Linked DNA regions of Bombyx mori. The protein of the gene in region 2 purifies or fractionates together with the protein of the main gene of each other region. This does not show direct contact. Links are inferred from orthologs where the notes say so. Each region holds a gene or a part of one and is shown on either strand. Other genes may lie near its edges.

The links.
Region 1: the proteins of actin-binding protein WASF3 (region 2) and probable protein BRICK1-B purify together in Drosophila melanogaster (affinity purification with western blotting; 4 studies listed by BioGRID, with this or other methods). This does not show direct contact. The link is inferred for Bombyx mori from reciprocal best matches to the Drosophila melanogaster genes SCAR and HSPC300.

Annotation. Positions count from the first base shown.
Region 1 is NC_085125.1:1,885,640-1,889,710, reverse strand, and holds the start of probable protein BRICK1-B, read right to left. Parts: upstream 2,802-4,071; 5' UTR 2,292-2,801; coding exon 2,171-2,291; intron 1,730-2,170; coding exon 1,647-1,729; intron 821-1,646; coding exon 794-820; 3' UTR 1-793. Other genes in the region: focadhesin, read left to right, coding at 3,107-3,387.
Region 2 is NC_085109.1:3,354,027-3,358,380, reverse strand, and holds the start of actin-binding protein WASF3, read right to left. Parts: upstream 2,868-4,354; 5' UTR 2,630-2,867; intron 1-2,629.

The DNA of each region.
Region 1 (4,071 bases), on a different chromosome or scaffold from region 2:
ATCTATTGAATCCTTCTCCAAACATCAGACATGTGCACTCGAATGTACTTCTAGATTTATGTTTCAGTTTTTCGTCCGTCCCCCTCTACTTTGAGTCTGTAGTCAAATACACTACCGCGATTCAGGCAATCATCATCAACTCTCCGCGAAATTGGTTACAGTTAGTTATTTATAAATTTCTAGAAAGAGAACCACTTTGTTTTATGCATGTTCAGTCTAATACAATTGACATTTTTTCTTTACATATTTAACTTGTTTTCTTGGTGAAAGAATCAGCAACAAAGCTAATTTTGCAAATGGAATGTGCTGATTTTGGTAAACTTTAATATATAAAATTTATACATATACAAAACGTGTATAAACACATTCTTGTGTGATTCAGTTTAGTGAACTTAAAGATATAAAATTTAGACATGTATAAATAAAGATATTCTTGTGTAGCTCATTGAAAGTAACAGAAATGGAACATAAAAGAAATAAATAGATAGCAGAGGAGAAAGCGAGAGAAATTCTATTTTTATTCATTCTTGCCACAGAGTGCCTCCTAATACTAATCTCATCATGCCTAAAGCAGTGGCTTCAATAATTTAAACACACCTTACCTATATCAGGTCTTAATAATAACATATTTTTTAACATTGCTTCAAAGTAGTTCGATATATAATATGTACTTTTAATATCCAAATTTTATTGCAGTTTTGTTATACTGGAGAGTAGAGATTGTTCAGTGATTGCTACATTATTGAACTTATGTCTAACGCTTATAATTATATGGAATTTATCAAAGATTACTTCATGTTAAGGTTTCACCTTTAGTTACCTGAAAATAAAAACAATTTATATGGTAATTACTAGATTACTGGATTTGTTTATAGTCAAACTGCTACTAGGGACTTAAAAAAACCCATGGACATCAAAATAGTGCTATCCAAATTGATGCAGAAGGTCAATTTTAAACTCATAATAATTGGAAAGTATTTATCTTACTCTTGAAACAAGAATACACAATTGCTTTATGAGAGAAATGTGTACATATTTCATAAAAAAATTATGAATTTTAAGTTTCACTTCATTATTGAATGATGTTTGAAAAAATCACATCCAAACTTAGTGAGTGCTTTTTTGGAATAATTTCAATAGGATTTTTTATTTATTAATTTATTAGTTAGTTAGGAACTTTTTTTTTGCTGTAATTTGCAGCAGCAAGACTGCTTCTGGCAGTGCAGAAATTGTTGGGCAACAATAACCACTCATCATCAGGTGTGGTGTTTCCTCATTTGTCTAAAAAGGCAAAAAAATACAAGCTTCATCTAGAAGATTTATGATGTAATGCGTATGATGTCAGATGCGCATTTGACAACTATTTGATCATATCGACGCTTGAAAGGCAAATGTGACTAAGCAACAATAACTGCTTTGTACATAAATGATAGGCAATAACCATATTTGATGCACAGAAAAAATATATTTCTATGTCTATTAAAATCATTTCAATCTTACAGCTACTAGCTAGATTCTACTACAGATAGATTCATTAAAATAAATTTTGTTTTCAGGTATTTCAACTTTAAATTAGTCTACTGTAAAGTTTACGCATTGTCGCTTAGTCACGTTTGCCTTTCAAGCGTCGATATGTAACTACTTACACAAGCTTCCAAATAATCAATCTTCCTCTCTAATGATGTTAATTTTTCATTCAAAGTGGCAAGGCGAGATCTACAGGACATGTCTGAAAATTTGATGATATTATGATAATTTCACATTTATAAAGACTTACATTTTTTGACCTGTTTTAACAGAATATTTTCTATGGGTTCTGCAAGTTGTAGACAACAATAGTTGTAGACAACAATAGTTGTAGACAACAATAGTTGTAGACAACAATAGTCGTAGACAACAATAGTTGTAGACAACAGTAGTTGTAGACTACTTTTTTGTTGTATGTTTAATTGAAAATATATTTACAGTTTAATCTCCCATTTTTATTGTTATTTTATTATTACCATCGTTTCGAAAACTACATTTTTCACTGACGACTGAGATTTTTCCATTCCTTGTGTTTTGAAAGGCGAGTACCTTATCCTATGAAAAATTAATAGTGTTCTGAATTTGAAATTAAAATGTTTCTTGTTTAAGAACCTCCTGTAGCTGCTGATATTGATACACTTACCGAACGAATTGAGGAAGTCTGTAATTTTTTTTATGCTGCCTGTGATCACTTCTATGTATTCTCTGTTGGCCCAATCCTGCTGGATTTGTTTCTGTATTGTTTCTCTTGGAGGCGTCGACATTATATATAATCAGTCACGACTTATTTTAAATAGCTTATAAAGTAGATTTACTCTGTACTTAAGTATTTTAAAAGAGTTATCAAGTTTAATTAATGAATCAAATTGAGGTAAATCTTTTCATTCATTCAGTGTTTCAAACAAATAATAATAGTTTGACATTTGACAGCTTAGAATTTTGCTCGTTGATTGTTCTAATTGAGGCAGAGGATGCGATGTCAGCTTAGAATCAGAATCCACTACAATATCTCTACTCATCAGTGTCACAAAAGTCGACGAAGTCATTCACCGTGGAGTGGCAAGCAGCGTTCCTTGAGTATACCGTCCTATTGCGATCTCCAAACGACATTTTCTTGTAGTAGGACGTATTGTTAGCCCTGGGCAGGTATATTCACCTATTGTAGTTCTACTGCCTAGCAGTATACGTTCCGAGATACAACCGTTAAACCATACAAATGAAACTTTGATCTTGTGTCTCAAGGTATGTGGCGGAATTTATTTTGGGATGTCTATGGGCCATGGATGTGGTGCTTTAAATCAGGCGAGCTATGAGATCGTTCTCGTGCTAATACATCATACGTAGCATAAATATCCAATTGTTTTTGTAAAGAAGGTTAATTTTTTATTTTTTTTATTTCAAGATTTGGCTGTACGAGCAATGTGCCCTTTTCCTGTTCAAGTGAACAAGATGAACAAAAAATGACAACATTAAACAGCTGTTTGATTTAGGACTTAGGTTAGAAATTAACTTAAAAAAATCTGTATCTGCAATAGCCTATAAATTACCGGCTTACAAATTTTACACAGAAAACATAAAAATGGACGAAATCGAATACAAATTGAAAACTAACAACAGTGTCTTAATAGTCAACGCAGTAGAAAAGTTGATAACATTGATAAAATCAAAATTCAAACGTGAAGAACGACAGAGATTCGTTTTGGAAAACGAGGAATTGAAGTTTTTGAGGAAGAAATGTTCGTCCAAAGATCCTGTTGTGAGCCTGACAGCCTGTCAAGGACTCCTAGCGTTGGTGGAACTCGGTGTTTTGGAAATACCGCACACAATGTCCACTGTAGTAACACTCATACCGACTGCGCAGTAAGTACACGAATTCTCATTAAGTTTCCATATGGTACATTTAAAACTAAACTTAGTATAAATAAATTGTATGTTGATATTTTTGTAGTATCTCAGCTACTTCATTGCAGTGAGGTTATACTCAATTTTGTCTTATTAATTTTGATGTAGTATAAACAAATATGTATTAGGAGTACTAGTATTTATAATTAAAACAAAAAATATAACTAAGTAGCTTTTCAAGAATCAAAATAAAGACTATAAATTGATAAGAATTAAAAATACTTTATCAAAATAAATGTTTAAATATTAATTTATATTGTTTTCAAAGCTATTTCAATTTAATTACGTATCATTAGTATAATGTATTATATAAAATCAGGTATACAAGTAATAACTAATTGTTGTTTTATTTTCAAAATGGCCTCATCCACAAATAGAATAAGTTGGTATGTAACTTGATCTTGCCTAAAAGCAAACTTTTCATTCGACTTCATTGATTTTATTAACATTTATACCAAACACTCATAAACCATTCTAAATGTGCAAAGTAAATAATGTGTGTGAGCTTTAGCTAGGAAATTTGAACTTACTGGTGTAAGGGAAATTGATCAGCACATTTTTAATCCCTTGCCTTTTTGTCTCAAAGTAAACAGCTACCTTCTGTGGACCACATTAATCATTCAGCAGACCCTTTAGGAAGTC
Region 2 (4,354 bases):
AATAATATTAAATTTATTTCGCACTAAGTGCTTTGCCTTACGAACGTTTCTTTGCTCTAGACTACTCTAGAGTCTGTCTGCTCCCTAGATTGAGTTGTTACAACAATACATCTTTATCTCCCGTCGTTAGACTTGCCATCGCAGAGGGCAGGGTGATAAGAGATATACAATTTTTTAAGTATTTCCGGGATAGTTTAGAGTTTAATACTATGATGCTCTTATAACCCTAACTTTAAACAGTAGATGGATTACCCTCCCCCAACTACCAAACCCCTCAAAAGAATCACTAGAGGCTGGACAAGAACATAAGACTTCATGGTTGCTGTTTTGCCTCTGTTATGTTTATAACTTGCAGCTGTGTGACACATACAAACTTCTACCACTAATATAGGACATATCAGATATCAATTCTTAAAATTATTGATCAAAAATACTTTTAAAAATCAGGATATACTTAAAACTACATTCATTCTGATTCAACTATTCTAATAGTGATTTGTTTACAGTGGCATGACATTAAATGATATATTTTGGTATTAAAAGATCATTAATATTGTAGTTAATCAAATGATGTTACAAAAGATTGTTAGTTTATTGTTAAGTTACAGTGTTCGTTATAAATATCTTGTATGATAATCTATTACAACATTTGTAACAAAATCTCTTTAGGGTAAAAGTGCAGTGTTTAAGATCATCTTGAGCACTGTAGTGTAGTATATTTGATGGTCATAAAAGTTAGCCTTCAGTTTGAAATTGGTATATCAAATTTTTATATTTGAATTTGTCATATACAGCCCACCTGGTGTTAAGTGGTTACTGGAGCCCATAGACATCCACAACGTAAATGCGCCACCCACCTTGAGATATAAGTTCTAAGGTCTCAGTATAGTTACAGCGGCTGCCCCACCCTTCAAACCGAAACGCATTACTGCTTCACGGCAGATATAGACAGAGCGGTGGTACCCACCCGCGCGGACTCACAAGAGGTCCCACCACCAGTAATTACGCAAATTATAATTTTGCGGGTTTGATTTTTATTACACGATGTTATTCCTTCACCGTGGAAGTCAATCGTGAACATTTGTTGAGTACGTATTTCATTAGAAAAATTGGTACCCGCCTGAGATTCGAACATCAACACACTCAACACGAGTGCACCGGACGTCTTATCCGTTAGGCCACGACGACTAAAGTATTGCTTCATAAAGACTTGCAATACGAAGTATTGTAATCCCATTAGGAAAGCTGTCAACATTTTGTCTATTTAACATGCAAAATAATGCTTATAGGCCTAGCACATGTTCATGTATATCCAATAAATAACCAAAAACCAAGGTAGGCCCCTTAATGTAAAATAATCAAAATATGATAGATATTTAGGATTTATTGATAATTGATTGTTAATCACCTTTAAAAATATAATACATGTAACCATTCTATAATAGAGTAGATACATTCTTACAAAATCCCGTATTGTGCCAAACCATGTTATATGAGACTTGAAACCAGAACAAAAGGGGACTAATTTTTCTGAATGAAACATCTCAACTATGTAATGTAACTAACCTATTATATATTTTAAATTAGTTAAATTTCAGTTATTCCCATATATTGTGTTCAAAGTGCATAATGTAATTTTCTTAATAATTTTAAACAAAACCCTGATTATTGTTTTGTAAAAATACTACATTTTAGTATGATGGTTTCGGAGAATTTTTCTTTTGGTGTTTGAGTGGAACAGTGTTACAAAATACTGTGTTATAAGAGGGTTACGTCTACAATGTATATCATACAAAATTTTAATTTAAGATTTGCATGATGTATGTTATAACGAGTTGAAAACACTCATAACTTTCTCTCTTTACCAAATATCACTTTACCTTTCTTGCCAGACTATCCCAGTGACTAATTTTTTGGTGTAAATTTTCAATTTATTTTGTGCAATCTGCACATACTTAACTAACGTTGCTGCCCAAAGTTAGTCAAAGATAGTTGTGGTGTTAATTGTAGTAACAAAGTTGATTCTGGAAAAGTGCTCTAAAGTTAAAATAACCCATAAAAGCTCCAAACACTAATTACTGTATCATAAAACATATTAGTTTCTTTGTTTTTCATTTCTTTAATTCGCTTATTAAATTTGAACCATACTTCTTTCCATCTATGAACATTTTATTCAAAAATTTAAATCTAATTGGATCTTCTTTACATACTTATTTTTACCATACTAGGTAATTAATTGATACGTCAATTTTAGACTTATATGATGTATTCGGTTTATAGATAAGGATTTGTTAAAAATAGTTTTTTTTTTAATACTGAATTTGATTATATTTTTAATTAAATTTGATTTCTCTATAACTTTTAAGAAATAATCGTTCATATATTTCATAGACATTCGCATTTTACATATTTCTATCAATGATGACAGTTAAACATAGGTGTGGTGACACTTTACACTAATGATAAACCTTCGGTGCTTACCACTACGCCCTAGAGGTCTTACAATGCGAAACAATTAACTTGTAAAAAATTTACAATCTAATACATGGGAAATATGCAATAAACATATCCCTTACTAATATATTAACGAAACAATTTTAAGATACAAAATCAAATAATAAAGAAATACCTACTCACCCTCTCCACCCAAGGAAGTCAACAATTTATCTTTACTTTGGTGTTAACTTTGAACACTACAACTGTCACGTTTTTCCAGGTCACATTAAACGGGTACACTATTCTTAACAAACGTTTTACAATGATAACAAACTCAAGATATTACGAGAATTACACATTAGGACCGCCGCTTACTGTGCCACAAAACGAAAATGGCAGGCAGCGTTAAAATCAATGTTGCCATATCTACAACTGGGCTGCCAAGCCAATCTCTTATTATGCACTGAATATATGCCAATCTGCCAGTGGAGGTATACTAAAAGATATTCTTACGACAAAATAAGTTATCAACTGTCTTTATTTATGGCATAATAATATACAGAAATAAAAAATCTATTATCTTGACCTGAAAGTAGGATAAATTCTTGTTTTGTGTTCACTAGAATAATATTATGTTGTTTGAATATCAATGAATATGTGCAAAGCAATGATTAAAAAAAATACACTTCACTTTCGCATTTATTAATTGATTTTTTTATTTTGTATGAAATGGTTTTTTAATGGCGCATAGCTGTTACTAACAGTTTTCAAAAAAATCTAAATGACTATAATCATTTGCTTTCATTAGACCTTGGATCTACCTGATAGAAATGCTAAGCCATTCTTTAATTAATTTATTGTATAGATGCGTGAAAAAGATCATGGTCAACAACCTGAAACTCCATACAATTTTTTATTTTACTACAACTTAGCATTATATATTACCAACAATGAAAAAAAATTTTCAGGCTTACTGTCTACATCCTAACCTACAAGTCATCAAACATGAGCAGGAATTTAAGTATTTATTACAGCCACACAGAGAAATATTTTGTGTGTTTATTTGTAAGAGAAGCACCACTTACATATTTTGGAAAGTAGAAAAATTCAAAAGAATGATCAAAAATTAACCACTCAAAGACTAATTTGAGTAACGTCACTAAGGAAATGTACAAATTCTTTTATGATAATAAATTTTGGGTGTTAAAATTCATTACATGGTAACATTAAGTCCGAAATTTGGTTTTAATTAATTAATTTGAATACTCATAGAACAAAGTGTCGAATTGCAGACTGAAATGCTTACTGTTGTGGACTTTGAGAAAGGTTAGTGAATTTCTCATTGGACAGCATCAAAATACAAGGATTTTTTATAACGGTTAGAACTTTGTTTCTTCTTGTTGAATCTTGATATTTTAATTGTTTTAATTTGTCAATTTTTTTTTTTTTTCTGGCTTAATTGTAGCTGGTTGATTTTTTAGTATTCACTCGACAAGTCTTCTCAGGTTCTCCCAAAAATACCTTTTTAGTCGTAGTAAAGGTGAGAAACCTTTTTACTAGAGTTAATTGATTTTATTTTTGTCTTTTAAAAAACGGCATGACTTTCGTACTTAAAATATATGAATGAACCTTGAGTTTTATAGTCACTTGGATCCATGTGTCTGCCCAAATGAAGAAAAAAACCATAGAAAATCTCATACGTCAGTTCACGGTTACCAGAGTGGATTTTTTTCTTTTTCTAAAAAGATGGGGAATTGAATTAATATTAATGTGGAAATGGTTTTGTGAGTTTAAAGAGTGACACATAAAAAATTTCTGAAATTGATCATTTAATTCTCATCGTTAAATTTGAAGTGAAAAATATATATACATATGACGTGAATGCATTTATTCATCAGAAATAATAATAATATAAAAA